Lonchura striata: one gene and its partners. The protein of the gene in region 3 purifies or fractionates together with the protein of the main gene of each other region. This does not show direct contact. Links are inferred from orthologs where the notes say so. Each region holds a gene or a part of one and is shown on either strand. Other genes may lie near its edges.

What was found.
Region 1: the proteins of TULP3 (region 3) and WDR19 purify together in Homo sapiens (affinity purification with mass spectrometry; 5 studies listed by BioGRID and IntAct, counting the BioPlex papers as one, with this or other methods). This does not show direct contact. The link is inferred for Lonchura striata from reciprocal best matches to the Homo sapiens genes TULP3 and WDR19.
Region 2: the proteins of TULP3 (region 3) and IFT122 purify together in Homo sapiens (co-immunoprecipitation; 6 studies listed by BioGRID and IntAct, counting the BioPlex papers as one, with this or other methods). This does not show direct contact. The link is inferred for Lonchura striata from reciprocal best matches to the Homo sapiens genes TULP3 and IFT122.
Region 4: the proteins of TULP3 (region 3) and SIRT1 purify together in Homo sapiens (affinity purification with mass spectrometry; 5 studies listed by BioGRID and IntAct, counting the BioPlex papers as one, with this or other methods). This does not show direct contact. The link is inferred for Lonchura striata from reciprocal best matches to the Homo sapiens genes TULP3 and SIRT1.

What each region holds. Positions count from the first base shown.
Region 1 is NC_134606.1:22,777,287-22,784,544, reverse strand, and holds the start of WDR19 (WD repeat-containing protein 19), read right to left. Parts: upstream 3,333-7,258; 5' UTR 3,256-3,332; coding exon 3,250-3,255; intron 2,270-3,249; coding exon 2,178-2,269; intron 2,012-2,177; coding exon 1,946-2,011; intron 1,940-1,945; exon of another isoform or gene 1,566-1,939; coding exon of another isoform or gene 1,535-1,565; exon of another isoform or gene 1,423-1,534; coding exon of another isoform or gene 1,412-1,422; intron 457-1,411; coding exon 331-456; intron 1-330. Other genes in the region: KLHL5 (kelch-like protein 5), read right to left, coding at 5,040-5,096, 7,170-7,258. UniProt on the Homo sapiens protein: As component of the IFT complex A (IFT-A), a complex required for retrograde ciliary transport and entry into cilia of G protein-coupled receptors (GPCRs), it is involved in cilia function and/or assembly.
Region 2 is NC_134614.1:23,873,643-23,881,226, reverse strand, and holds the start of IFT122 (intraflagellar transport protein 122 homolog), read right to left. Parts: upstream 3,239-7,584; 5' UTR 3,171-3,238; coding exon 3,130-3,170; intron 2,970-3,129; coding exon 2,903-2,969; intron 1,708-2,902; coding exon 1,623-1,707; intron 807-1,622; coding exon 728-806; intron 1-727. Other genes in the region: MBD4 (methyl-CpG-binding domain protein 4), read left to right, coding at 3,385-3,410, 3,589-3,723, 3,911-4,722, 5,075-5,149, 5,436-5,570, 5,803-5,952, 6,561-6,664, 6,808-6,885. UniProt on the Homo sapiens protein: As a component of the IFT complex A (IFT-A), a complex required for retrograde ciliary transport and entry into cilia of G protein-coupled receptors (GPCRs), it is required in ciliogenesis and ciliary protein trafficking.
Region 3 is NC_134604.1:31,058,215-31,065,867, forward strand, and holds the start of TULP3 (tubby-related protein 3), read right to left. Parts: upstream 3,005-7,653; 5' UTR 2,972-3,004; coding exon 2,931-2,971; intron 1-2,930. Other genes in the region: RHNO1 (RAD9, HUS1, RAD1-interacting nuclear orphan protein 1), read right to left, coding at 3,368-4,018, 6,197-6,364. UniProt on the Homo sapiens protein: Negative regulator of the Shh signaling transduction pathway: recruited to primary cilia via association with the IFT complex A (IFT-A) and is required for recruitment of G protein-coupled receptor GPR161 to cilia, a promoter of PKA-dependent basal repression machinery in Shh signaling.
Region 4 is NC_134609.1:35,338,175-35,345,705, forward strand, and holds the start of SIRT1 (NAD-dependent protein deacetylase sirtuin-1), read right to left. Parts: upstream 3,368-7,531; 5' UTR 2,422-3,367; intron 1,531-2,421; 5' UTR 1,502-1,530; coding exon 1,289-1,501; intron 2-1,288; coding exon 1-1. UniProt on the Homo sapiens protein: NAD-dependent protein deacetylase that links transcriptional regulation directly to intracellular energetics and participates in the coordination of several separated cellular functions such as cell cycle, response to DNA damage, metabolism, apoptosis and autophagy.

The DNA of each region.
Region 1 (7,258 bases), on a different chromosome or scaffold from region 3:
ATGCAAGAGTTTAGTGGAATAGACTCAAGGAAGCTAGAAGTTTAATTGTTAAACCAAGCTTATTTATTAACCCAATGCTTGATGGTTATGCAGACCCCAGAAGAGTTTGAAGTGTCTGGCCAAATTCAGAAAGGTAAGGTTTTGAACCATAGATATCTACTTTCATCCTAAATTACTCTACTTTGTAGCAATTAACTGTAGTATGTTAGTTTAATTAGTATATATATTACGAGGACTCCAATACAAAGATGATCTTGAAATATAGCCTCCACATCAACAAGTCATAGTGGTCCAAGGCTTTAAATAACCACGTTAAAAAAAATTTCTTACCTCATGCCACTGTCTACTTGGCTTGTTTTGTTTGTGATTGCATCCCACAGAAATATGGTGCTAGATTTGTCTGTGATTATTGCTAAAGTATCTCCATCCTTATCCCAGTCCATAGCAACACAGTTACTGAAGAAAAAAAAAAAAATCACTAAGAATGTTAAAATGTATTTGTAAGTATACAGAGACAGCCAGAACAACGCAACCGAGTCCCTATTTCTTCCTTCTCCCCTGTAAACCAATGACAGATTGCAGATTTATCTGTAAACTAGTTCTATAGCAACCCCACTATTATTCAAATCTCATTGATGACAGGAGCTGAGAGGAAAGTCATAAAAGACACTGCTACCTATGTTCTAATACTTGGAAGACTGTCACCTTGATTTTCAAGAGACACTGAAAGTGCTCTGCAAGGTTCTGGTTTGTTAGAGGCTATTCAGAGTTGGGATTATTATTCTGATAATACACCACTGATTCCACACACCTTTCCTCACTTGGACAGTTTTCTGGAGAGAATGTGCATTTATCATATATTGTGCAAAACACTTCACAGAGAGCTGGGCCATGGATATTACCAAGCAAAAGAGACAGACACAGCCAGACCATATTATGAATGACACCTGACCCAAACACCAAGATGTGATGGTCAGTGAAATACACGGGAGTCTGGTAAAGACATGGAGAACTGCATCTCTTGGTTTGGTGCAAGCGGCAACTACCACAAACTACAAAGACTGGACTTCTAGATTCTTGGGGAACTAAGTGATTTTGGCTGATATTTACCAATGACAGAGTATTGCAAGTGACAATCTGGAAATTTAAGTTATACTCTTGACTAGAGGTTTCAGCCTTAAAAACCATGGGAGTTTTGCCTTGACTAAGGAGTTTATCATAATCTAAATTCATCAGGTAGCTAGAAATAAAAATTTTCCATGATGACCAAGAACAATTAAAGTGATAAGAAGAGATGAGAAGTACACAAATGTAACTACATGAGATATTAATGGTGCCCAATAAAAATGTATTTATTGAGCAAACCAATATGATGACCCAACGTCACACCATTTTTCCTTAGGGAGGTTACCCCTGGTTCATATCCAGGATTTTCCAATGGTCTGACTGCCTTTTAAGAAGTTCAATATATCTTCCAAAGTATGCAAGTTTTTAAATTTAATCTGAAAAAAATCCAGTCTGTAAACTCCCATACCATTCTCTGATGTGAACCAAAGTGTGACAAGCTGGGAAAAAAAACAAAGATTCACTTCAGAAGTATCATCTTCACCTAAAGCAACAATGCCAATGTGTATATTTATGCCACTGATGCAAACAAAGCACTAAAGAAATATCTTTTCTCAGCAAAGCCATGATAAATTGTTAGAAAATCAACAGTAGCAAGAATACAAAGATATAATTTACACAACCTCATTATGATCCTTCTTAATGTGATAAGTCTTTTTTTAACATTTTAATTACATAACTTGTCTTCTCTGCCAGGTATGTTCACCAGGGATAGTATATCATCCTACACATTTCTCACATTGTTTAAGTAAGTTTAAGAATAGAAGCATTTTTAAAGAAAACAACAAAGAAAATAATTTAAACCTATCTTAGTACTTACCCTGGTAGGCTGATTTCATTTCTCTTCTGACCATGACGATCAAAAATTTTCACAGAATGATCAATGCTAAAAAAAATTATATACATATAATGTATATATAAAATGTATATATGATGTATATATATAATGTATTATATGTATATACATAATGTATATATATAGAATACAGAATAATTCCCTTTCTTTATCAGTAATTATGATGAACAAATGCAATGAATAGTTGCAGTCTTACCCTATCACAGCAAGAAAATTTCCTAAAGTTTTCTGCCAAGCAAACTGCACAGGAGAACCAGACCAAGCTTTTTCATACAGACAGAATACTTGCTGGGGAAAAAAAAAAAAAAAAGTAGGAAATTGTACATCTTAAAATCATAAGAATACTACAACTGCCTAGCATGTTAGCAGCTGAGTACTGTAGAGGTAAAAAAACCTCACAAACATTACAAACCTAACTTCTGTGTGATTCCAATGCACTGAAGCATAAAAATCCCACATAAACGTCCACCCCAAATGCCTGTGAGGTTTGCTCAAGTCTGACACAGGTTCTTCCCCCTACTTTTGGGTCAATGTAAACTGAAGCATTCTTCACACTGAATCTGTGTTCTGCACACCAGAACAGCAAAAATACAACCACCACATGCCACAGCCACAAACATCATCTGACAATGACGTTTGATTTTGAAAAATAATTTAAGGAGGAGGGCCACCAAGATGATTTGAGGGTTGAAGCACCTCTCAATGTATGAGGAAAGGCTGAGAGAACTGGGATTACTCAGCCTGGAGAAGCAAAGACTTTGGCATGACCGAACTGTGGGCTTTCAGTACCTGAAGAAAACACACAAGACAGAGGGACTATAATAAGGGCATGCAGCCACAGAACGAGGGAGAATGGCTTCAAACTGAGAGAGTAGGTTTAGATTAGTTACAAAGAGGCATTTGCTGTGACGGTGGAGAGGCACTGGTACAGGATTCCCGCAGAAGTTCTGGACATTTCATCCGTGGAAGCGTACAAGGCCAGGCTGGATGGGGCCCTGAGCAACCTGGTCTAGTGTTAGATGTCCTTGCCCACAGGCGTTGCAGCTAGATGAGCTTTAAGCTCCCTTCTACCCGAAGTTTCTGCATGCGAAGTAAACAAACACGGCAGTGCAGGCAGGCACACCAGCCCCCCCGCCGCTCGCCGCCGGCCCCTCCCGCCGCGCCTCCCTCCCCGGCACGGGCCGCAAGCGCCACGGGCCGCTCGCCCCGGGGCCGGACCCGCGCCCGCCCCCGGCCCGCGGCGCCCGGCCCGCGGCGCCCGTACCCACCTTCATCGCGGCCGCCAGCGCCGCCGCCGCGCATGCGCCGCCCGCCCACGGCGCCGCGGTTACCGCGGAGACGGAGCGGCCCCGGCCCGGGCCGGCCCCGGCGGGAGGAGCTCGGCGGGGGGAGCTCGGCGGGGGGAGCTCGGCGGGGGGAGCCGGCGGGAGGAGCCGGCGGGAGGAGCTCGGCGGGGGGAGCCGGCGGGAGGAGCTCTGCGTGAGGCCGCGGCCCCAGAGCGCGGTGCGCGCAGCTCTCGGAGGAAAAGGAGCGATTTTAGACCGTAGGCAGGCAGAACGGGCTTCTAAGCGAGAGAATAAAGGCACACACCCGCCAGCAAAGCCTCTTGAGATCAGCTGTATTCCAACTGCAAAGCTTCATCACAAAGTGTCACCGATTTCTTTTAAAACAATAAATAGTTCGCCGAGAGCGTTAAAACACACGCTTAAAATTACAAATGTACAAAGGACTTTGGGTATCGGGCACTTCAAAGTTTAAAAAAAAAAACAAACCCAAAACATTCAATGAGTTCACATATTCCCGTTTTTTCACGCGCGGTGCTGTTCGGAGAACTTAAGGGACAAGGCACGTAAAAACAAATACAAAAAGGCTTCTCCCGAGAACATTTAGACCGTTCAAAGCAATTCAGTGTAACAGCAGAGTGCTCGAGAAAGGCAAATTATAAAGTATCTGAAAAAATTAGCTAACTGTTAAATAAGGTAACAAATTTGATACAGCCCTGCGAGGCACACATCACAGTCCTGTAAGATGCTGAACATGCTTAAATGGTGGCAGCTGAGCATCTGGCAGGATTGGGCCCTTTACATTTTTAAATAACCTTACAGGAAAGACAGACAATTTCTTCATCATATAAAATTATACTTCTTATAGTAGTGCAAAGCCTCATTTAAAAATGTAATAAGTCTAGATGTAATGGAATGCTTCAAAAATTCCAAAGTGCAAATATTAAACTTAAATTGATTAATTGTTAATCACACTTCAGAATTTTTCCAATAACACATACAAACAGCAAAGTAAATACAAGAACCAAAGCAGAGAAAAAGGTATGATGTTCTGCATCTTGCATAACAACTCTGAAAATCCAAAAAGTACACTGGATGTCAAAAATATCTGTCAGAAATTACCAAATAGTAGGTTTCTGTTAGCATAAGACTATTTAAAATAAGGCTTTGGTTAAATAAAAAGTTTGCTAAACTAGGAATGATGATAAAAAGTGCAAAAGATTCACCAAATACACAACTTCATTTCCAAGGCAGGCATCACACACCTGCCATTTACAATGGTTTGCATTGGTTTGTTAGCCTGCCTTGTAGTTACTCAGATACCTACTTGCATTTATTACAAGCAAATTAAATCGATGGGGTCCAATCCTATAACTTGTTTCATCCAGAGATAGACCCCATTAAATGAAAGTATATCCATTTATAGCATCATTGCTCTGCATTTAGGAAAATCAAGGCCCTGGAACCATAATATTTGATTATTATAGTGAGTTCACTCATTTTCTTAGCACTTCCTAAACAGAAGTCCTCTATTACCAACTGGCAGGTTGCAGCTGACTTGCTTACAAGTAGAATTCTTGTAACATATGCATAACAAAAGTTTTTAAAAGGTGCTTAATATTGGTCCATAAGAACATCATGTTAGCTTCAGACCAAACACTTTTCCATGGTAAATGTCCTGCACCTGGTGTTTATTGGTGCACTCATAGTTTGCTTGAGGAAAAAGCAATCCTCTGAATCTGCACGGGAGAATTCACCTTCCCAGAGAAAATAATTCAGAGTTTTACAGTCACAACACATGCTCCAGCTCTTCCTAAGCACAGTGGTGCAACCTGTAAACAAACAAGCCATCTGTGAGATAAATACAGTCATCTGTATTTACAACTACAACTATTTCCCCCTAATTTACAACTATTTCCCCCTCATTATATGGCTGCAGCAGAATGACTGTATTACCCATGCTCTGTTAACATGACTTACACATTGGTTCAAAATTGGATACAAACACAAAGAAAAGGTAAAGATATTTTCAGTAACAGAGTGAAGCACTCTGAAAACAATAGCAAGCTCTAAGGACATCAAGAAATTCTTATTGATAATTTCATTTATTCAGTATTACAGAAAAAAAGAAACCTTTGTTTTAGTACAAACTGGATACCTGATCTAGACAGTCAGAAAATTGAGTAAAGGTTGGTAAACTAATGCATTTCTCAGAAACCAAAAATGCCTAAAATTATAGGGGCAACCTCTCCTTTATACTTGATTATTTGATAAAATCCTGTTAAGAGTTCTTGAAATTAGAAAAAAATCACCAGTCTTTATTCTTTAATTGCAAACAATTTACTTCTGGCAAGACCCTTTTCTGCTGAGATTCTGCTGGACTTGGAACAGTGGGCAGTAGTTTCTAACACTCCCCTTTGCTTCCCCTTTTAACCTTCATAGTATTGCAATGTATGTGAGTAGCACACCGAGTGGTACAGAGACTATCCTGAAGACAAAAAAGGCTGTTTATGCCAACTCCCCTATTTCTTTTTTTTCCCAGGAACAATAAACTTTTACAGAGCTGTCTGTGACTCTGACAGCCTTCGCCTGAGAAAATTCCACTGCCTTCTCCTGAGTTGCATTAAGATGAAAAGGTGGCAGACTGCTGAAATAACAAGAGAAGGAAGGTACACAAATATTTCCCAATCCCTCTGGGAAGGGTTTGAAACTATCCTATACACTGGGATTGTGGCATTTGGTGAGATATAGGGGGTCAAAGCTAAGGATATCAAGGTACATACAGATGGTCACCACCTAGACATGATGCAATGGTGAGAAGCACAGTTTCTCTCCTCTGGTGAGAAGCAATTTCTGTCCTCTGATATACTTTTTTTTTCTTTAGCAGGACTAACAATGCCATGGGTTATCATTACCATACCAGTGAATACCCAAGCTCTGATGATCCTCCTTGATGACTTGTGTTTTAAGAGCTTGCAGTAATATGAAATGCAGGGAAATGAACAATTGAGGTTTTTTTGTGTTCCAGGAATTTTTATAAACAGCAGTTTAGTTCTCTTTTTGAATTAAGAATTTGGGGCTGTTACTAGAATGACATATTCAAGTGGCTCAGAATTCAGTTGCCTAAATACTGGTGTCTGATGCTATTACAGATGAGCTTGGGCATTCATCCTGGTCTGCAGCTGGACTCCAGGATGGCCTTGGTGTCCCATAGAGTCTGTGCTGTATCTGCCAACCTTTTGTGGATGTAGATGCTTTAGGGTATTTCAAATGGCATTAGACACCAAAGGACAGTCAGCTCAGGATGTCCTTGTGTGTGCTATTCCCACTGAGCTACACATTCCTAGAGCTATATAAAAGGAACCAAATTCTGAACTGACAGTAATGGTTTCTGAGCATGAACTGTAAAATTATTTTTATTTTAAAACTGCAAAAAGAAAAATGGGTAAAGGCTTTCTGGAACCTACATACACTGTACACAGCATTCACCTCTGGAAGGGACTATTTATGAAAAAATGACCAAAACCTTAACGATATGAATGTTGAGAGACATATTAGAGCTAAAACTAATCTACATTTATCTTCAGAACAGGAAATAATGTAAACAGAATCCTTTGTGACAGTTTGGGGAATGTGGCAATACATTTTATTAAAAGTAGCTGAAATTGTCAAAGAAAATAGCTATACTCTTGCAAAAGGAAGGAGGGCAGTTTATTAACAACAAATTAACAACTCTCTGTTCAAGAGAAGTCATCTCAAGATGGTACACAAAGGAAAAAAAGAGACTCAACAGACGAGAAAGAAACTGCTTTTTAGAGAAGGAATATTTGAATTCTCCTTGCAAAAGTAGGCACATTTGAAATAACAATATTAATAGTAGTGTATGATCTGATTAGAAGCTATACCTGTGTCCATTCATTTGTCTGGGGATCATAAGACTCCACGGTATTAAGATATGTTTGACCATCATATCCTCCAACAGCATACAGCTTGT
Region 2 (7,584 bases), on a different chromosome or scaffold from region 3:
ATTAAGTTACAATCAGATCTCAATAAATCATTCTTAAATGTCCCTTTTCTGACTTTCAGCAAGTGAGCTGAAAGCCTTAGCAGATGCCAAAATAATTGGATTGGTTTATAGTATGTCAAGTAAGTCTGCTATTACTGTAAAGTAAATCAGTAATAAACCTTGTAAAAGCTGCCTCCAAGTAGCAGGATTCACTGTATTTCATCAAGATTACAGCAACTGTTTGTGAAATATGATTGAAGGTTGTATCCAAATCCTAAACCATGTGTGCCTGTGCAGGCTCTGTGCAGTGACCAGCTAACTCTTGATAAATGTGCAGTCAGGAGAACATGAAGCTGTTGCTTCAGAGGGCTGGAGCCAAATGATTGAAATATACCAGAAGTTCCAAACCTATCTTTAATTTGATCTGTGAACCAGAATTATGATTTATTATAGAAGACTGGTCATGTTATGTTTCATTTTACTCTGACCTATTCTGAGTTTCCTTAGTTCTCTGTCAGCCCTCTAAATTCACAGATTTCTCTGGACTTCCCACCTCCTTTTATGCCTTTAATTGCTTTCCTGCCTCATTCAGATACTTCAGCTGTTCTTTTCCTCCTCCCTCCCCTATCACCCCTTTTCTCTGACCTTAGTGAACCTTCTCCCAAGTCTAATAGCTCGTGCTCTTTAGTCGCAGCAGTGCATAATCAAAATCAGCTTCTGAGGCACAGAACTGAACGGCATCACTTACGTGTACTTCAGAATTCCTTCTAACTTTGAAGTCCAAATTATCACACTTTTATCAGCAGAGCCAGATGCAAAACGCTTGCCTAGGAATTAGAGATAATTTAAATCCCACACATACAAGAATCACTTTCACTCCAAATACTCAATCAAAGAGAGAGCAAGAAGTTCTTGAATTCAACAAGACTCAAGTAATAAGGGGCTGACACTGAGTGCCTGTAAGTGCTGGTGCTTCCCCAGGCACATGGAGTTCCAGCGGCTGTACTGCACCATTTCCATGGCCTTGCTACTCACCAGTCCTTCCAGTGCTGCCCAGCCCCAAGCTGGAGATTGATGGGAACAGTGACAAGTGAAACTGGTACAAGGTCACAGGAACTCCCATCACCCAAACAGCAGCAGCTGCAGGAAGGCTCCTGCCCACAGAGTGAGTTCCACTGAATGAGAGTCGCAGAAAACTGGAAGCAGAGTGCACTGAGCAGGTAACATATGAAAGATCAGGGGACCAGGAACTACAGGAACTACCAGGAACTTCCTCTAGGACAGAGGAACTACAGGACTAAAACTCAGATGTAGGTGAGCAGTAGAAACAGGAATCTCTGAGGTGAGCCTTCTCATGAATATACACTTCACCAGTGCCAAGCTCAACACTTAAGTCAAAGAGCAGAGCAGTGGGACCACAGCTCTTGGGCTCACAGGTGACCTTACAGGTATTTGCACTGTACTCTGCACAGCAGATCACACCCTGCACTGGACAATAAACCCCAGCACTCATTAAAGAACAAACCCCAGCACCCCACACTGCGAGCCAAACAACGCCCATTTCTTCATTTTCAGTGGGCAATCCCAAACGGAGGAGATGCACTTTACAAAACAGGCTAACAACGCCCCAAGGTGCCATTTACCATCTTTGGCATAAGCCACGCAGTACACAGTGTCCTTATGTCCCTTCAAAGGTTGAATTAGGGTTCCATCAGAAGTATCATACACCTGTTCAAATGGGGAGAAAAAAACAATACAAACAAAAGAATTTACACAAAAAGCCCTTCATTGAATCAGAGGAACACATTTGGGTGGGAAGGGACTTCAAAGTTCACTCAATTCATGCCCTTGCCATGGGGCAGTGAGACCTTCCACTAAACCAGGCTGCTCCAAGCCCCATCCAACCTGGCCTAAAACACCGCCAGTGTGAGGGCTGGGATACAAAAGTACTGAAGGCCAGCAGATTATGCACTTCCTTTTGTGTCTGCTTTTTGGATTTCATATAGTTCATAAAAGACAAAACACTTTCTAGCACAGAAACAGCTTTCTGTAACATTATATTCTTAGAAAGAAGTCAGTACTAGAAAATAACACACACAAAGGACATTTTTCAACAGCTTGTTTGGCAGCTTGTTTTACATCTTATTGGCTTTTTATCTTTTATTTTTATATTTTACATCTTGCTGTTAAAACATCTTTCTACGCATTTTATGTTTAAGCATAATAATTACTGCAAAGGAACACCACTAAATACATGATTCTGTTAGCCCTGAAAATAACACTTGTTGTCCTGCAATGCTGAACTCCACCTTTACCATCCATCCATCCATCCATCCATCCATCCATCCATCCATCCATCCATCCATCCATCCATCCCTCCCTCCATCCATCCATCCATCCATCCATCCATCCATGCCTTCCTGCAGCTCCTACAGCTGCCCCACCTCACAGCTTCACAGGGCCTTTGAGCAGCTGGTCCTGAGCTGCTCTTGCAGCAGCCCCAAGGACCCACAAACAGCCTGAGGTGAATGTTCCCACACGGCGCCCACAATGCCAGGACACGGGTTTGAGCATGTTCCCTTGTCACCGAGATTTTAAAGAAACTTGCACCAGCACAGCCCCTGCACGCTGTGCCAGGACTAAGGGCAGGTTCATGGATCTCAAACCCCGGGCACAGCGCAAGAACATGAGATGACACAAATAACGTAAATCTCATTACTTTTGGAAAAAGAGCTTAAAACTTGGTAAGAAATATTTAAAAGCTTCAAAACACTTTAGAATTGGCCTGCATTAATATGTATGTTGCTGAGAGGCTGCACTGACAGAGATAAGGGGATTTCAGATAGGTTATATTCATAAGTTAATGTGAAAGAAATCACGCTTATACAGCTGAAAAGGAGAGAGGACAGGAAGGTTTCCCTACCAGCAGCCTGTTTCCAGCAGCAATTATCAACTGGGTCCCATCCGGCTTGAACGCGAGGTCGTAAATGCTGAGGGAAACAAACAAACCGAGAACCGCGTGTCAGGAGACAAAACAGATCGGGTGTGCCACAGGGCCAGCGCTGGTAGAGGCACCGACCCCGCTGGGAGCCCCCGCAGCCGGGGCCGCCGCTCGGAGCGGGACGGGCCGGCGCGCCCGGGGCCGCTCACCACTGCTCGGCCCTGTCGCGCCAGGTGAGCGCGGCCCGCATCCCCCGGACCCCGCACGGCCCGGCACGGCCCGGCACGGCTCGGCACGGCCCGGCACCGCCCCTCACGGCCGGGCCCGCTCCGCGCCGGGCGTCGCTCCGCGGCCCCGCCGCTGCCACGGGCAACGCGCCTGCGCCCGCGGCCCGCCGGCGCCAGGGGGCGCTGCCGGCGCCGCGGGGGCCGCTCGCGCGGGCGGGGCCGGGGCGGCGCCGGGAGATGGCGGCGCCGGGAGCGGCGCGCGGGTGAGCGCGGGGCGGGCCCGGCTGGGCCCGGTTGGACCGGGATCACGGGCCCCGAGTACGGGCCCCGTCCGCGGCTGCGCGCGGCCCGGCCCGGGCCCGGCTCGTGTGGCGGTCCGCGCCCCGCCGAGCCCGGAGCTCCGCCGGCAGCAGGACTTACCGCGCTCTTCTTCCCCCGCAGCCCCGGGGGCGGCGGTGGAGGCGCGGCGGCGGCGGAAGGGCCCGGCCCCGGGCGCAGGGCCCGCGGCTGGCAGCGGGTGAGCAGCCGCCGGCGGGCGGGCCGGACGGCCGGCAGGACCGACGTGTACTTCATCAGGTGAGGCTGCGGCTGCCAGCGGCTCTGTGTGGCTTCCCTGGCAGGAGCACAGCAACCTGCCCAGACGTCCCCGCAAAACTGGTTTTGTGCTTCGTTTTGGGGTTGTTTTTATGTACTATTGAAGATTTTTAAGCAAAGAGCGGGAAAATGAGAGTCATTGCTAATTTGCTTTCCTTTCCTACCACAGCCCTGAAGGGAAGAAGCTGAGGTCAAAACGAGCACTTGTGGAGTATTTACAGAAAACTGGGGAGACAACACTGAAAGCAGCAGATTTTGATTTTGCAGCTCCTCGAGGGAGTACACGCCCAGGATTGAGGGGATGTGGCACTGGAGCTGCGAGGACTGACCTGGAAAAGGAGGACTGCCAGAGCAAAGTGCAGGAGCTCCGTGCACAGAATGGTGCTGAGGTTGGAACTCAGAACATCCAGGCTGGGAATAGACACCTGGAAGATGCTATATCTACTGTGGAAGGCACAGATTTAGCAGTGGTAGGCATAAACCCAGAGGAGAGTTTGAAAACCAAAAGAAAGAGGGCAGATGGAAAAACTGTCCAAACAAGGAAGTGTGAGAAGGGCTCAGAAAGGAGGAACCAAGGTGACCCCAAGAGCAAGAGGCAGAGAAGAATCTCTAACACATGGGAGACCAAGTGTGCTCAGAACAAGAGGGTCCGTAGGCAGACAGATGCCTGTGGCACTGACAGCCAGGGAGTGGGGGCACTGGGTGCTGACCCTGCGGGTGCAGGGAGAGCTCTGTCAGCAATGCCCAGGGCACGGCTGGGCTCGGCGGCTGGCTCACACAGGGAGCTGGGTCATCTGCCAAAGCAGGGGCCATGCTCCGGTGGCACACCTGCTGCGAGGCCTGAGGAGGGATCCTCTGCTCTGGAGACGGGGAAAGTGCCAGGTCCAGGGGATCTGGGCGAGCAGCATGCGAAACCTGAGCCCGAGCTGGATGCTGAGCCGTGGGACAGGACGAGCTCCGCCGCAGCCACAACGTCACCAGGTGCGTGCTGTGAGAGCAGGAGGTGGTGCCAGCCTTCACCTTCTGCCCAGCCTCCCTTGGCTCTTGAGGCCACGTGTTCTGCTTCAGCTCGAGCTGCTCTGACATCCAGATCTCATTTGTATCCAACAGCATCTAAACTAATGCAGGCTTACTCAAAACTGAAACTCACTGTGCCAAGCTCTAAGCTGTACAGTGTCAGGCAAGATCTGAGGAGATTTAAGGTACATTTGTGTCCTGTACACGAGAAGAATTCCTTCTGTTTCCATCACTTTATAAAGAGGAAGTGGTGTGTGAAACATGACAGCAGAATACTTGGTGCTTTTTCTTAATGCTGAAATTTATTTCTTTACAGAAGAGTCTGTCCCACGAACACAAGTGGAGAGAAGGAAAACGAGTCCATATTTTTCCAGTAAATACAGCAAAGAAGGTATTTTATTTAGGGAAAGACATGTTTTTGCGGGGAAGGGATAGGATGGCTCAGGCTCAAGTGATGATGTGGAAAGTTCCTTGCAGCTTGACCCCCTTGGCTGCAGCTGTGCCAAGTGGGACACAGCCCCCCACAGCCCTGTAAAGGCTGTGTGGGAACTGCTGTGTCTACATCTATGCACAATGCCTCCACAAAAATGCTTCAGAGGTCTTTTTGTTCTTTTTCATTAAATAGGTAACACCATCCTTCCCTGTCTAATAAATGTTCCTGTGTTGCCCCTGTACAGCCCTCAGCCCACCCAGAAGAAAGGCCCTCAGAAAATGGACTCCTCCACGTTCTCCTTTCAATCTTATCCAGGAAACACTCTTCCATGATCCATGGAAGCTTCTCATTGCCACCATATTTCTCAACAAAACTTCAGGTAAGTAGAGAAGCAGGAGTAGGTGTGTAAATGTTTGGAGGTGTTACAGGGCTGAAACAGCTGCAGTTTTAATGGTATTAATGAAAGAATTGATTTATTTTAACTTGTGTCACTGTGGAATAATAATTCTTAGTTGGTACCTTACCTTGGAAAAGCTCACTTGAGAAAGCATATGGATAGGGCAGAAGGAGAACTCCAGCCCAGCCTCCTGCTTACAGGGTTCTTTCACCAGGGAAAATGGCTATTCCAGTGCTCTGGGAGTTCCTGAAGAAGTATCCTTCTCCTGAGGTAGCCAGGGCTGCAGACTGGAAAGAAATGTCAGAGCTGCTCAAGCCTCTTGGCCTCTACGAACTCAGAGCCAAAACCATCATCAGGTTCTCAGGTGGGTTTTCCTGACATCTGGAACAATCTTGGTTATGCTGGCAAAAGACAAACAGCTTTGGTGCAAGCGCTGCTCTGTGGCTCTCCTCTGTTGGGTGGTGGAGGCTGTTCTGCAGCATTTGGGATCCATTGGTGTCGCACAGGCAGAGCTGGTGGTCCCAGTCTGAGCTGGGAAGGAGATGCCAGCCATGGGGTGTTCTGCAGGAGAGAGAAACTCGTTGGAGCAGAAGCTCCCAAGCACCTGCAGTACTGCTGCTGTGTGTGAGCACTGTTACAGGTGGCTGTGCTCAGGGGTGCCCCAGTGACCTGCAGAATGCCCTTCCAGCTGGCATTTTTCTGATTCTGTACATAGAACCTGCAGAGGAGAATTTTGTTCTGATGGAAGATGTTATGGTTAAAACTCCCACGGTGGTTTGTTGAAAAGGAGTTTAAGATTAACCCGTGGGGATTCGTGGTCTGCATGCACCTGGAAACACCTAAAACTTACGGTTTTCATTTAAAATGAAGACATGTGAGAGTGGCACAGGGTCCTGGCCAGCTGCCTTATGTGCAGGCAGTGAGGGCAGGGTCTGTGTGTGCAGGTGCTGAGTACTGTGCCCTGCCTGGCAGGTGAGTACCTGAGCAAGGCGTGGCGCTACCCGATCGAGCTGCACGGCATCGGCAAGTACGGCAACGACTCCTACAGAATCTTCTGTGTTAACGAATGGAAGGAGGTGGGTGGTGCCCTTTGGGTCCTTCGGCATCTCACTTGTGCCCACTGACCCCCTGGCGCTGGAAAACCAATGCTCACAATGTGGGAGCGATGAGATACTTTAAGGTGTTTCAGTAAATATCTGACATTTTCCCTGTGTCTCAGGTACAGCCACAGGACCACAAGTTGAACGTGTACCACACGTGGCTGTGGGAGAACCGGGAGAGGCTGAGCATCGACTGAACTGAGCTGGGGATGACCTGGCCCCACCACCTTCCCTCGGGCACCCTCACAGTTCTGGGTGTAAATATTTGTGTGATGTCATGGAGTTACCGCTATTTTTTTTAATAAACGTGTCCCTGTTTTGTAGTGCCTGTCTCTTCTTGCAGCGCAGCTCTGTGCCCACAGCTGCCTCCCAGGCTGGGGTCCCGCTGGGCACAGCCGTCCAGTGGCCAGGCTGGGCACAGCCATCCGGTGGGGCCGGAGCGCTCGGGATCTGATGCCGGTGCTGGGCTGAGCGGGGGAGCCTGGGCCAGCAGCAGACCGGGCAGAGCACACCGCGCTCCGTGGCTGTGCCCCGGTGCTGCCGGAGGTACCGGCGCCTTGCCGGCCTCAGCCGCGCCGGGCCCGTGTCGCTGCGGCCGGGGAGCGCCGGGCGCGTTCCGCGTCCGCCGCGCCGCCAGGCGGCGCCCGCCCGCCCGCACTGGCGGAAGTGGCTGGCGGGCACAGCCTGCCTGTGACGGACAGGTCCTGTCAGCCCCGTAGCCAGCGCACCGTTCGTGGAGGTGAGCGGGAAGCACCGATCTGGGCGCCCCCGCCGGACTGAACCTCCCTGCCCGGTGCCACCTCACCGCGGCTGCGGCCTGGCCTCCGCGCCGCCCCGCCGGTGCCTGGGGCCCTGTGTGCGCGGCCGCAGCGCCACACGCCCCTGCCAGGACCGTG
Region 3 (7,653 bases):
GGTACATATCAACCACACTTATAAAATATTTACAGGTTTATCTCACTTTGAACAGATTTCTTCATTATAATGTTTAGAGCTGAAAAGGGTGAAGAACACAGAATTTTAAGCCAATTCTCAATCATCTAAGGATAAGATCTGCAGAATTGTAAGTCCTGGAATTTGACAAACATTGCTTGTTAATTTTAAGATCACTGGTGGCTAAATAAAAATACCCAAGGACTAATAGAGACGCTGAGATGCTTTTAAAAGGAATTTTAAACTTATCTGTCTTCTCTGGTTTACAAGTATAGCTAAAATAATTAGCAAAGTATTTTGTCTTTTTTCTCCTCAAAATCCTAATTATGATTTTATACATTTATATAAAATACTCAAAGCCCAGCAGGCACACACATTCCTGACAACTTCAACTACACTCAAGTTACTAAAATGTGGAAAGGGCTTCTGGCCAGACAACAGTCCACTTTTGAAGATTTCAACTTCTCTTAATCCGTAGGCTCTTAATATTTTGAAAATTGAGCTTATTGGCAACAGGCTGTTTTTCTTCATTAACTTTGGGAGACACTGAGCAAAAATCCCAGAGTTCCAGAGTTCACAAACAGAAAGCCACTAACTGATGCATGTCTGGACCCCAAGGAAGCATCCAAATGAGGGCAGGACCGCTGTAATTGATGCCCAGTTTTGTAGTCTCCATAGACTCAGTCAAGATTTTTGCCCCTTGAACATTCTGTTCCTCTTAAATGACATCTGCAAGTCCGAAGCTGAAGCATATTTGGAATGCAGCATGTGGGAAGCTGTAAGCCTTGTACACTGTGTGATTAGTGTACAAAAGTGCAAAGTCCATTGGTCTCAGAGATTCTAAAATACATACTTCCATAAGAAACAAATTTCCTTCACAATATTTTAAAAGCTTACATTAGAATTATTTTTACCTGAATGTTTCTACACTAATAATTTCATGGTAAGTCTCCAAATAGACTTTCCCAAATAAGAGAGAAGGTCTAGCACTCACCAAAACCATGAAACAGCAATATCAAGCTTATCATTTTCTAAAGCATTAAGACAGTTGTGCCATGTCTACCTGAAGCCAAATTTTAAAATGAAGTTGAGCAATTTCAGTTGCAGCCAGTTCCAGTCAAAGGAAGTCTAACACAACACAGTATTTGCAAGTGAGAGCCTGTAGATGGCCTAAATCCAAGATCTCTTCTGTCTATCCATCATCGTGTATCCCACAGCACACTTACAAAACAATATGCATTAATTTTTTACTGGTAATATTCGACTCTGTCCCTCAGAAATAAAAGACTTCCAATATCTTTATGTGTATTTTTCACATTGCTCAATAGTAAAGGCATTTCACCCCTAGGGGGAAAAATGGTCAAAAAAACCTGCAGCCCACCAGTTCTCAGGTACAGCTTTGTTAAGCTTTACCTGTAGGATCTTCATTGCCATGAAGTGCCAGTTATTATCTATCACATTAACCTTTTCTATAAAATCCACTGTTCGGACAACTGACAATTATTTTACCAAATAAGAGTTCTAGTAACCAGATTTGTGACTTCTGGATAATTTTACTATTTTTGTCTCAGAAAAAGAAGAACCTTCCTAAGAATACAGACATTTGTCTTCCTCCAATTTATTACAATGCTGATGAACACTCCAGAAAAACAAACCCCTCTAAAAACAACAAGCCTTACAGATCTATTTTAAAACTATGTACTTTTCTTTAGGTTCATGTATTCTAGTTTTCTTACCTTAACCATGGGGACCGAGAAAGCTAAAGAAATGTTTGTTTCTTTAATAAACTGGGATGGGAGGGAAGCAGCAATCCCATGAATTGCCATTATTTTTAGCCTGTTTCTGGGGGACACCCATAAAAGCACATGAGACAAGTTTCTCAGCAGAAAGAAATTATGCCAGTAGAACTGTTATCAGAAGAGCAGCATTACTTCCTGTAGTGTCAACTCTGTCAAGCTTAAAGGTTTACTGTGCGGGGAAATTTACACATATCTGGACATAATTTCCTTAAAAATTGTTTTCAGAACTGCGAGTCAAACCGAGGCCTTTCAAGTCTGCATAAAGAAGTAAACTGATGTTCCATAGCATATTTGGTGGATCCAAGCAATTACAGGACCATTTCTAACTCTTACTGTTGTTTTTCATTCTCCTTAAATTACCACATGTAACAATGTATGCAATAAAAAAAGTATGGTTTCTCTTCTACACTGTGCTCATTATCGTTTCCCTACCCAAAAATTAGGTTTCTCCCTTTACTTGCTTTACTTCTTCCTATCCAAATAGAGGCACAAAAATAGATTTTCCTGGGTTTTTTTGTAGTCACACCAATTCTGCCAAAACCTGTTTCCTCTGCCTGCCAGTACACTCAAATTTAATTTCGGATAATTTCGATTTTGAGCTACTTAAGTGCCAGAAGCATAAAGTCTTTCCAAAACCGCTTCTCCATAGTTCACAGCTGTTTTTCCTATTACATCAGTTGAGTTCATTTCAGAGTTCATTCCTCCTTTTGTTCTTGCAAAGGCCCACCGAGAGTGACACTAAATACCCAGAGAGGCTCACGAGGAGGAGCAGAGGGGCTGAATAACACCGCGAAAACGCTTCACAGCGGCACCCAGAAACCAGGAGGGGACCGAGACACCATAAAACCGCTTTAATCTACAAGTATTCGGACGATGCACACCAACACATAAAACACACCCGCCCATAAAGCAGCGGCACGGCTGTCGCCCGCCGGCGGGACGCGGATGTTACCGGGGCAGCGCCGATCCGCGTGGCCGCCGCCGCGCGGCTCCGCCCGCCCGGGCCCCGCTGCGGCCGCTCATCCCGGCGCCGGGCGCTGCTGCCACGCGAGGCAGCCCCCGCCCAGCCCCGCTGGGCCCGGGCACGCCGCCGCCGCCGCCGGCCCCGCTCACCTGTGGGCGGCGGGCCCGCCGGGTCCCCCCGCTGCGTCCATCGCGGCCCCGCCGTTGCTATGGGCCCCCGCCCGCCGCTGTCCTTAGCAACGCCGCGCGGCACTGAGGCGCGCCGCCATTGGCCGGGGCCGCGAGCACGCCGCCCGCCGATTGGCCGCGGCGCCGCGCACGCGCGGCGGGGCGCAACGGCCGCCCCCGTCGCCCGCCGCGGGAGCCGCCCCCGCCGGCAGCGGGGAGCGGGGAGCAGCCCCGGCGGGAGCCGCGGGACACAGAGCCCTTGCCACACACTGCCCCAGGAGAGACCGCCCCGCATACCCCCCACCCCCTCCCCCGTCGCCAAGAGCCGCCCCCGCGGCCCGGCTGAAATCGCGTCCCTCTTCAGCGCCCTAAGGGACACCATCTGTTCGGGCGTGTCCTCGCACGCAGCTCCCGCCGGGTCAGCTGTGGGCCTGTCTCCTCGAGAGCTCGAGGTTTGCCTTCACCAGGATGTCCGCAGCGCTCAGCTTGCCTTGCTCCCGCAGGTAGCTCATGACGTGCGGCCGCCGTCTCCAGGTGACCTTTACTCCGTACTCGTGCTCGGGGGTATCCGTGACCAGTACTGCTGCCGCCTCCCCTCTCCCGCACGGATCAACACCAAATGGCAGCTCTTCTTCTGGATGCCAGGCATGACTACTTGGTGATAGAGTGCTGCTGCATCTCCCGTTCCTTGGGGAAGGAGCCTGTACAGCCTCTGCATCTGAGGGACTAAGGACATCTTGCTCCACAGGCTGGGGAACAAGCTCTCCACAGTTCTCTGGGCTCTTCACCTGGATGTTGGCATTTGCCGCTGTCCCTTTCCTAGGCTGGGTGGGAGAGCATTGTGCATTCTTTATCAAGCAATTTGGATCATCCAAGAGAGGGACTGCATGTCCTTCTGGATTCTCAAAAGTTAAAGGAGGAAATCTGCAGGCTACAGCTCCTCGGCAAGCTCCTCCTGCATGAAATGAACTGTGGTTAGCATCCTGATTATAGGGCTTCTGAGGACCACGATGCTTCTTCTGGCGTGCTTTCAACACCACCGCCTTAGTTGTGTCAAATTGTGGGCATACCTGAAGGGAAAGACATAATAATAAGATAAAAACCCAACCCTTTCCTCCAGACAAATAATACCTACCTGATTCTATTCCCCACCTTTTTTCAGTGTGTTCGTTGAGTAATCTGTTCTGCAGCAAAGCAAATGAGTCACTAACAAAGCTGCTATGCATGAGAAACCTCTGAACTTCAGCATCGTGTTCTGCCACTTTTCTCTGGAAAGTCATTAGGGTGGCAAAAGTGAGCTGTTCTCCGGCAGCTCACAAAGAGCTTGAGATCTGGGTTTTAAAGGAAATCTAATGATGTCTACTCCTGTAACCCCTGAGGATTTAAGAAAGTTCAGAATGGATCCTTTTTCTTTCTGACCTAGCATAACTCAAATAGCTTCAAAGAACTAAATCCTCAGCCTCCCCCAAAGAAGTAGAGGCTGAACTGGGAGAGCAACACAAAATGATTGAAGAATGCCCGCTTAGCTCAATCCCCTTAGATTATGTTAATAGGGTGTTCAAAATCTTCCCCCCAAACATCTTTGTTTCAAAACATAGTTAATTTCTGTATTGTGGAGTAACAGATCACCCAAAATCCACTTCTACAATCAGCTTCCTATAGAAGAGATGGTCCAAGCTCAACAGTCTGTATTTCTGTGAATGATTCTGGACTCATTCTCAAACCCTGAAAATCCTTTCATTACAGTGTTTGTCTTCCTGGTTACCAACAAAAGAGTCAGACTCTGTTTCAGATTCCAGTTTGCTTTTCCCAAGAGCACACCAATCTGAGTTCTTGCTATGGTAACTACAGATCTCCTTCAGCATTCCTAGGTTACAATATAGTTCCTCAAAACACTGAGTGCAATTTAACTAAGGATGGTGATTGTCTAATGTACAGCTGAACTGTTTGACTCCAAAGCCATTTTGCAGGAAAAGAGAAATGATTCTTTAATAATTGTATACTAGCACATACTTAACATAATCCCTGATTTTAAGGATATGGCTTCCGGCTTCAGAGAACATGTAGGGTAGGTTTTACCTATGCAGGAACCTAGTAGTGAAAAAGGTATGAAAAACTTAGATAATGCCAAAAAGAGAGGAGCAGAAAATCAGTTTCCATTGAAACAAGTTGACAGACATTCCGCAGAGGATGCCTCCAGAAGTTACAAACCTATCACAGTTACCAAACTGAGAAATATTTAACAGTTTCAGTACTGATAGCTTCAAACAAATTTTAGAATATTTTAGGAATCAAAGAGCTACCAGAGTGGATGCTTCCACCTCTTCCAAACAAAATGAATGCTTATTCACAGCAGTTATTTCACTTAGTGATTCACAAACTGTAGAGCTAACTGCCTCAAGCAGATACAAAAAAAATTTAAAGAGGAAAAAATTGAAGATGTTCTACTTCAAGGTTAAGGCATTACAAAAATACCTGCAGGTCAACAGGAACAAAGGAATGTTTCATACAGTTTTGAAACCACTCTTCCTGAGTTTGCTTTGTGAAGAGCAGTCAAGCAGCAATAATGTTTAAACAGAGCTCCCCTAGGTGATGACTACTGTTGTATAGGAACAGTCTGTCTTTGCTGCAGCTGTTTGCTTAAAAAAACTAAAGCTTTATATTACATGATATAAAGAGTATTCTAGGACATGGCAAACAGTCCCAAGAAAATGAACCTATCAGAAGATTGGTATGGAGAGACACTACTCAAAAAACATAAATGGAAAAGAGAGCAGGTTAGAACAAATGATTCTGAAGTAAAAACCTATGTTCTCTAAATTTAGCAGTTTCAGATTTAAACAATACACTCAATACTTTAACATCGAACATTTAGAGTTCAGCAGTTATTTTAAACAGCAAGCCAATAAGAAAGGACTCCCCTAATGATTATTTTGTGCAGGGGTTTTGGTTGCTAAGGAAAACAGTGTTTTCCTGATGCGAATAATTTTTCTAGAAGACAAATATTCATTAATCAGTACACACTGCAGACAGTTTATGTCTTCAAGTAACCAAGACCTTAGTGCTTATTCTTAGAATGTCAAGCAACTCAAGCACTTATTTATGCTTTAGACTGATAGAAGGAATTCAGGTCTGGGCTACTAACTTTCCATATCCAGAACAGATAACTTTCTTTTAAGACAGGAGAAACAGGAGAAACTTGAAAACTGTTGGTGTGGGACGCAGGAGGAAAGATAATTTGTACCAACCCAGGCAGCAGAGGTGTTCAGGTCTACAGGTTTTGTAGGCACACGTCTGGGATTCTCAGCCAAATGCAGTGGAGCTTCATAACAATGGATGGGTCCTGCCCGTGGTTTCTCAAGGAAAATCAGCTCTGCCTTCCTGGCCTTGTGGGTACACTTCTTCTTTGGAGGCATCAAAAGGTGTGGTAAAACTACTTAGAAACCTCATGATGCTTGTTGGAGCCAATTGAAGAAAGATGGAAGCACCCTGAGGAGATGCGAAAGTGCTCTCAAATCTGTAGAAGCAAATAAATGGATTTGAAGACAGACTCATTTGGAAACCTCAGATGCAGTTTTTAACAAAAGCAAAACATTTATGCAACAGCACAGTGTATACATCTTGAGGCAGACTTTTTCCCAATAGTGGTTCTTGGGCCTTTTGTTAATTTTCAGGTAGATTTAGAAATGCACTGCAGGAAGGGAAGCTGTTGACCTACTGATACAGCTATGAAAAGAACAAGTCAGCTATGAAAAGAACAAAAAAGCCAAAAAATTTATTTTCTTTTTTTCAATTCAGTCTTGTTTGTAATGCCAAGAAGATATTGTAAGGCTAAGATAATCAGAACTCTTTCCCTTTCTGGTTGCTAACTACCTGTGTGTTTTTAATTTCAAGGGATTTTAAGTTTGTTTTTTTCTTTTTTACAAAACAGAGTTGACATCTCCCGTATTCTACAGATCTTGCATGATTTGTTTTGCCTAATGAATAAGTTTGAACTGAAGTAACATTGTATTTAATTTTCTATTGGAAAACACAGACTCAATTAGGTTGGAAGACCTCTGAAATCATCAAATTCAACCTATAGCCAAACACCACCATGGCTACTAAACCATGGCCCAAGTGCTACATCTTCAGGGACAGGGACTCTACTTCCCTAGCCCATTCGCCTGTCTTCACCTTTCCTGTGAAGAACTTCTTCCTAATGCCCAACTTAAACCTCCCCTGGTGCAGCTTCGGATGATGTCCCCTTGTTCCATCACTAGGTGCTTGAGAGGTGCTTGAGAGAACATGTAGGGTAGGTTTTACCTATGCAGGAACCTAGTAGTGAAAAAGGTATGAAAAACTTAGATAATGCCAAAAAGAGAGGAGCAGAAAATCAGTTTCCATTGAAACAAGTTGACAGACATTCTGCAGAGGATGCCTCCAGAAGTTACAAACCCCACCTGGCCACAGCCTCCTTTCAAGCCCTTGTAGAGAGCGCTAAGGTCCCCCCTGAGCCTCCTTTTCTGCAGGCTGAACACCCCCAGCTCCCTCAGCCACTCCTCGTGGGACTTGTGCTCCAGACCAGCTCTGCTGTCCTTCTCGGGTCCCACTCCCGCACCTCAGTGTCCTGCCTGAACCGGGCGCTGCACTCCGAGTGCCCCAGCAGTGCCGAGGAGAGAGGAACGGTCCCTGTCCCGGCCCTGCTGGCCGCGCTGTTGCTGAC
Region 4 (7,531 bases), on a different chromosome or scaffold from region 3:
CCTGAAATATATTATTGCAATCTGAAATAAATGAAACTACATATTGGACTGTAAAGTGTTGCTCTGGGAAACCACACATTTCTGTATGCCCAGTGCTCAGAAACATTAAGAACAACCAAACCAGTCTGGGTTCTCTGTATTTATTTTTCTTTTCCTTTTTTTTTTTTTTTTTTTTTTTTTGGTCCCATATAACAATTCCCAAATCACAACCAGGAGAAACAGCACAGAAACAAAATTTGACAAGTGGACAAAATCCCTTTAGTACAGTCTGCACAGGTAGTAACAGGATACCAGAACTTGCTTTTACCACTGGAAGTTTTGTAAGATGTGAACAAAAATTTAGAGCATTATTGCATTAAATTTAATTATTAATTGTTCACAGATCTGCCAACTCAGGCTTAGAAATGTTGGTTGATATTTTAAATTTTTTTTACATGCTAACACACTAACAGAATAGTCTTGCTTTTAAAAAAATATATTCTTACTTCTGAAGAATAAACCCCTTTTGATAAAAGTTGTTTATCAATAAACACTGCTTATCAAAGCATTGTAGTAGTCAATAAGGACTGAAATCATTGTCTCAGACTACCCCAAAATAGCATGGGAAGAGGAACAGGTGTGTGCAAGTATGGAAAGAGCAAGACTGGGAGTAGCAGTGCTCTTCTAAAAGCTGATTTGAATTACTCATCTGATCTGGATCGTATCATACCATCTGTGTGTGAACAACAGAAACAAGAAATGATCTGGTGCACAGGTACAGAGCTGCAAATGTGCTGCAGCTCAGAAATGTTCTTTAGTCAAAGAGTGAGTAGTTTTATCAGCACCACAGAGCACCACGTGCTGAAAGTAACATTCAGTCTGCTGAAATCTGACCAAACTGTCCTTATGATCATCCTCCTCCTCCCCCCCAACTCTTTTCAAATCCTCTTCTTCCAGTCCCTCAAGCTCCATCTGGGATTTTAAGAGATCCACTGAGATTCTGCTTTAAAACAAAAGACTAGGATAGAAAAAGTTCTGGACAGATAATGTGTTCTTATTCCAAAACTGTTTTGCATGGGAGCAGCTGTTTACAAGTTTCTGTGTCTAAGAATATTTGGTTCTGAGAAGAAAGATGTGTGATTTCCAATGGAAGCTGCAGTCCTTGCAGTGGACTGGACTCTTCCCCCGACAGCTGTTGGCAGATTTACTGCAGGGTTTGCAACCTCTTGTTCCCATCCCTGCAAGCTGTACTGAAGTACTGAACCAACCTGGCTCCACATTTTCACACCGTCATTGCAGCAATACCTACCCCAGCTCCAGTCAAGACCATGATCTTCTTGCACTCCTGCAAAAGTTTCACAGCATCATCAATGGTGTTGATATCTTTCCTCTTCTTCCTTTTTGGTGGCTCTGAAAGGATGTTTATCACGATTTGCCACAGAGTCATGTCATCCAGTTCAGGTGGGGGGATCGTTTCTGGTAGCAGGTCCTTCAGAATCATCCGTGGGTCTGTACCTAACATGAGATGCTGCTGAACAAAAGTGTAGGGACCTAAGAAAATTTAAAAATACAGATATTTAAAACAGAGTTAGGTACTACAAATTATCATGGTTATTGTTCCATTTATTAATCCTTACTAGTACAGTTTCATTAATCCAATTTAATGCTCCATTTATCAAACCCCCTGTATTTTGATCTAAAAGTGAGAGCTGGGCATTTTATTTATATATCATTATTTTATGTTAACCCATGAAGGATTTCATAGAAAGTCGGTCAAGTGAAAATCCCAGTTCACAGCAAAGTTAACCTCTTTTAGAGGTGCAACAGGATTTTCACAATGTGCCTCCATCTGTACTTTCCCAACATTCAGTATTTACAGGAATAAGCTGACAACAAACAAACAACAAACATACATATATTTTCCAGAGATATTATAAACCATCACTCTAACCAGACACATAGAGACCAGAAATCCATGATTTTTGTTGGTTTTTTGGTCATTTAACACAAATTATTTCAGACATTACCTCCTCAAGCCATTAAATCAATCTTTCCAGAAACACTTGAGATGAGGGCTCACTGTCCTAAAATCATACAGGGATCATCTTCTTGTCCCTTAAAGAATTAATACTAAGTAGGCAAGCTATAGAAACATGCCATAAATTAGTCTAATTTAGTGAACCTGTGTGTATGCTTTTCATAGGAATTGTGGCAGGATTTATATTCAAGAAAAAATTAAGACATTGACAATTTTAATCAAAATACAGCAAGTTTCAAGGTTCATTTTTAAACTCCTTAAATAACATACAGAATACAGTCAACACTCTAAGCTGTTCAGAGGCACTAACTGCCAATATTTTTGCAACAGGAAAAATAACTTGAACACTAGGGAGTGATTGTTCAAAGGCAAAGAGCATCCAAGATCATGCTCCAGGCTTTTACCTATACGTGGCCTTGGGGTCCAGTCACTGGAACTTGCATGGGAGGCTCTGTCTTCCTCATCACTGTCACAGGAGTGAAAGCCATTGGCTATGATTTCTTCGCTGAGGAGGAAGTTATCTGCAAGACAGCATGAGCATGGGGTTACACTCCAGCCCAAGGGCACAGTGCATCTTCAAACTGATCACAAAAACAAAAATCACACAGTCAGAAGCTTTGTCACTTAGGCACAGAAAATGTCTATTTCTCTTCACATTTAGAGATGGACTTCCAAGATGTTGGTAGATTTACTGCAGGGTTTGCACCTCAGTGCTGGGCTTCAGGGGGACTGGATGCTGACCTTGGTGAAATCTTGTTCTCTAAAGTGTTGGGCATTATGGGTATTTCACCATAGAAATAATCCAAATGTTTTAAAAGTATAACTGAAAACGTCTTTCCCTTTCCCACTGCATTCAGTTCATTCAAAAACTGGGTAAAATGAAAACATGTCACCAGTGCAGACAGATCTTTGACTAGGTTTTAAGAGCATTTAACAACATTTTGAAAGAAACCCACAAATGCACATTTGCTACAACAAATTCACAGGATTTGGTGAGGATGTTACCTTGCAGCTCGGCTGTATTGCTGACCACATACACAATTTATGATATTTCAGTTGTGACACAGAACATGCTCCCCTGTACCACCTTCACTAAGTTTCTCTCGTCCATTTGGCCCTGCAGCTGGGCCTGGCTCAAAGTGCCAGAGTCACCTCAGCTCAGCCCGTGGCTTTAAGCCAGAGTAACTCAATCTAACTCCATCTCAGACCTCGATGAGTGAGCCCAGGGCAGAACAAGAACAATTTGTGTTACTGAGCTCACGTTGAAGGGGAAATCTAAATTCCAGCCTGAGCAGCTTATTAGAACATAGACTACTCAACAACCTTTTTTACTGGCTTCATTAGAAATAGCCTCAGCACCTGTAGCTTCATTTGCTGAAAATCTATGGACAAAGAACAAATTTCACTCATGCTCTGTAAAGCAAAGAATCACTGACGTAGTTCTCATTCTCGTCTGAAGAACTGAAGAACCCCCTGCACTGTTTTAGCTGTTATTCCGCTCGATTCTCAAATAAAGAACACCACTAAACACCATCATTTTTTATTCAGAGGTTGTGTTGTCCTTCTCCTTGTTAGCATAAATTTTTGATTTGACTTTATTTTTGATTAGAAAATAAAGATCAATGACAGAAATTTGTTGTTGGTCCTTGCTGTCTTGTTCTTCTGAGGCCACAGGTGCTGATGGACATTACTATTTCCTATTAATCTACTTATTTACAGCATTTCAGTTCCATCATGTTATGCATGAAGTCAGTGAACATTGAGAATTTTGGAGAAGGAAAAAGTGCATTAGTACACATCAGTAACCGCGAGGTACAAGTTTAACTTGAGCGACCTTTATGGCTTCTGTATCAAGAAGCAAAATTTACATTGTGAAAGGCTCCTCACAGGCAGGGCATAGGGCCTGGGATTCAGGAAACGCTGACAGATACAAGAAGGATAAAGTAACAGTTCAAACTGTAACACTCCCTGAGTATTCCTCAAAGGACCAGAGGGGATAATGCAGGCCAGAACTAAGCCAGCCACAGCAAAACACCTGAGGCTCGGAGGGACCTGAGCAAAAGGCTTTGTGTAAGGCACTAGTAACAGATCATTGGCTTGGCTGTCAGCTGTTCTAGTGGAGATTTTAAATACTGAGGCTGTTCCAGGTTTACTCTATACCTGTTCCTTTTGTACTGCTTTTGCACAGACATTTGCTACAGAGTTGAAGTACCTCTAACGGCATTCCAAGATAAAATGTAAAGACTATACTGGCAGAATCCAGTGTCTGATAAATTTTAATAAGTCTTTCCAAAGCACTGCTTTAAAAAAAAAAAAAAAAAAAAAAGGCAAGCCAAAATTAACAACTCAAACAAAACAGAACTCAAACCTGATCAGTGTGCACTGTGAGGTACTTTCACAGTGATGCTGATGCTGCCCACCAGTAAATATCTGAAAGAAACTTTTTAGGAAAAGAGAGGATACTGCACCCCGTATCCTCTGAGATCTAGCTTAGTTTTGTGCTGCAGTCACTGAAACCTTAGCCAAGACTGTCACTTGCAGTTCTTTAAAGAACTAGTCAAGACTGCTGCTGCTGAGCCTATGTGCAAGTTTCTAAGGATCAGAAATAAAATAATTAACGCGGCAGAGATTGCGAAAAGGAAACCGGGCTTATATTTGTTCATTTTTAATAACTTGCTGCCAGCAACACAGCAGAATAGATGTTTTCAGGGCTGAGAGCCGAGCCGCTGCCCTGGCCGGCGGGGCCGGGCCGGTGACACGGCGCCCCTGCGACACGCGGGGGCGGCGCTGTGCGGGGAGGAGGGAGCCGCGGAGGAGGGGAGGGAGGGGAGAAGGGAGGGGTCGCTCCTCACCGGGATGCGGGGCCGGCACCGCGGCCGCCCCGTTCGAACACTGCGCCCGCCCGCAGCCCGGGGCCGCCTCCGCCGCGTCTTCGCCGGGCGCCGCCTCCGCGCCCTCCCCCTGATCCCGCCGCGGAGGCGGCTCCGCCCGGGGCAGGCCCCGCAGCCCGGCCCCGCCGTCCGCGCCGCTCCGCGCCGCCGCCGCCTCGCCGCCGTCCTCCCGCTCCGCCCGGCCGCCATCGAACCCCGCGGCCGCCGTCTCCCCCGGCGGCTCCGCGGGCACGGCGGCGAGGGGCGCGGGCGGCGGCCCCGCGGCGCGGTCGGGGCGCGGGGCGGGCGCGGCGCTCCCCGATCCGCGGCGGTGCCGCTTGGCCGCGGGCTCGGCGCCGTCGCTGCCGGGGCCGGCGGGGCCGCGCGGGCGGAGCGGCGCAGCGTCCCCGTCCGCCATCTTGGCGCCGCCGCAGCCGCCGCCCCCCTCGCGCCCGGCCCCCCCCGCCCGCCGCGGGCAGCGCCGCCGCACGTGACCGCGGCACGTGACCGCGCCACAACAAACCGGGGCACGTGACCGGCGGCGCTGCCGGCGTCACGTGGCGCTCGTGCCGCCTCGCGCCCCCTCCCTCGGGCGGCCCCGCCGGCCCCGCCGGCCCCGGGCCCTCCCGTCCTTCCCGGCCCTCCCGTCCTTACCGACCCTCCCGTCCCTTCCCGTCCCTTCCCGAGCCTGCCCCGAGCCTGCTCCCCGCCCTCCTGTCCCTCCTGTCCCTCCCGTCCCTTGCCGCCCCGGCCCTGTGCCGCTCGCCCCCGCCCCTGCCGAGGGAGCGCCCCGGCACCGCGGGGTCCGGCAGGGATGCTGTGGGGCATCGCCCCGTGTCCTCCGGGAAAACACATCAGCCCCACCCGAGATCCTGCATCGCGGTACTTGAGCTCCCGGGATGCAGGGGCTTGTTTGGGGGGGGCAGCACCTGTCTAAATCACTGCTGCTTTAGGAATGGAACCTGCGTGGTGTAGGAGAGGCCTGATGGTAAGCGGCGAGAGTTGGGATTTGTTCGAATAACAAAAACACAAATCCATTGTGTTTCCCGTGCTGCGCGGGAGTGGGCGCGGCTGGTCTCCCTGCTGTCCCGGGGATCTCTCGTTCCCTGGAGTGCAGGAGCAGCCCTTAGAGCCCCACCTGGGCGCTGCAGCCAACAGGACCGTGCCACGCGTGGGCTTCCCATGGCAGAGTTCCCTTCCGCCTTGGAGGTTGGACTGGATAGAACTCAGCCTTCTTCCCAGAACTGCCACCAACACAGAATTTTGGTCTAAACTTCATGGATAGAAATGTAAATGCTGCTTTGTTGTTACTGTTCAACATCACGAGCTATTTGCAGGATAGTATTAGTGGCTTTAATACAATGGAATTCCTAACTTTAGTGGCAAGACCCAGGTTACAGAGGTAGAATTTCTCCCTTGCAGGCCTTGCTAACCAACAGCTTTTAAAAAAACCTTGGGATTAAAAATGTTGATACATGTGGCTTCAAAGGGATTATTTTATGGATAATTAACTTTATAGGTAGTCTTTGTTGGGGGAGAGAGGTTTGGGGATCTTTTCTGGTTCTTTAAGGTATTAAAAACCCTGAAAAATACGTACATACTGGTTTTTCCCACTACCTGCTTCTCAAAACAAGCTGCAGAGTAATCAGATCAGAAAGTTTTTATTATTCTATGCAACTTTGTGTGCAAGCGTTCTTTTTCCTTCTTGCCTCTGGAAGCTGAGGCGAGATCTGTATTTCTTAAAAAACACATGCAAGATGCATTTGTCAGCATATAAAGGGGAGGTGGGGATGTAAGATTGGTTTGGTGGTTATTTTTGTGAAGACAGTTCTAAGGAAGAAATAATCCAAGTGATGCAGAGGTAGTATCTGAGGTTTCTGTGGAGGTACCGGTGAGGGAGTGGCTCAGGGATCCTAAAGCCACCTCTGATCCTGCAGACATTGCTCCACGTCAGCGATGGTGCTGCAGGAGTTACCTTCTTGTGGGAGGTCAGTTTGGCAGTACTTGGGTCCTCTGCTGTTTCTGCAGCTCTGAGCTTCTGTGAGAACAAGGATGGGGCACACCATGCAAAACTCAAATGAATTGTATGGTGCCTTGGACTTCTCATAAATGTGTTCTCTGCCCTCAGGAAGCAAAACCTCTGAAGTCAGTTGAGAAGAACTGGTCCTGGAAGATTTTATGTATTTTACAGGAATAAATTCAAATAGAGATTTCCAGACCTTACTGTTTTATTTCAATGGTTATTTATGACTTTTACAGGTTGTTGGTAAATGTCCTGTTACATTGGAGCAGGATTTAGATTCACTCTAGGCTCTAAACAAACAGAATTGTCAATATGTGTTAGGACTGAGAGACACCTTTTGTTGGTGGTTGGGTACAGAGAACAAATATGAGATTTCCTCACTTCCAGAACAGTTTGTACATCCTGAGCAACACTAACCACGGCATGTGTCTGTGCCATCTCCTGCGCTGCAATTCCCTTTTAAATGAACTTTATGTCCCAGAGCATATCTTTGTAATTTTTTTGTGTAATACACGTGGCTGCTCTTGCACTCCTTTTTGATGATGCCTTGGGAGTTGCCCCTCAGAAGTCAATAGGAGCAGTGAAAGGCTGAGTTCTTGTTCAGTGTATTTTGTGTTCTCC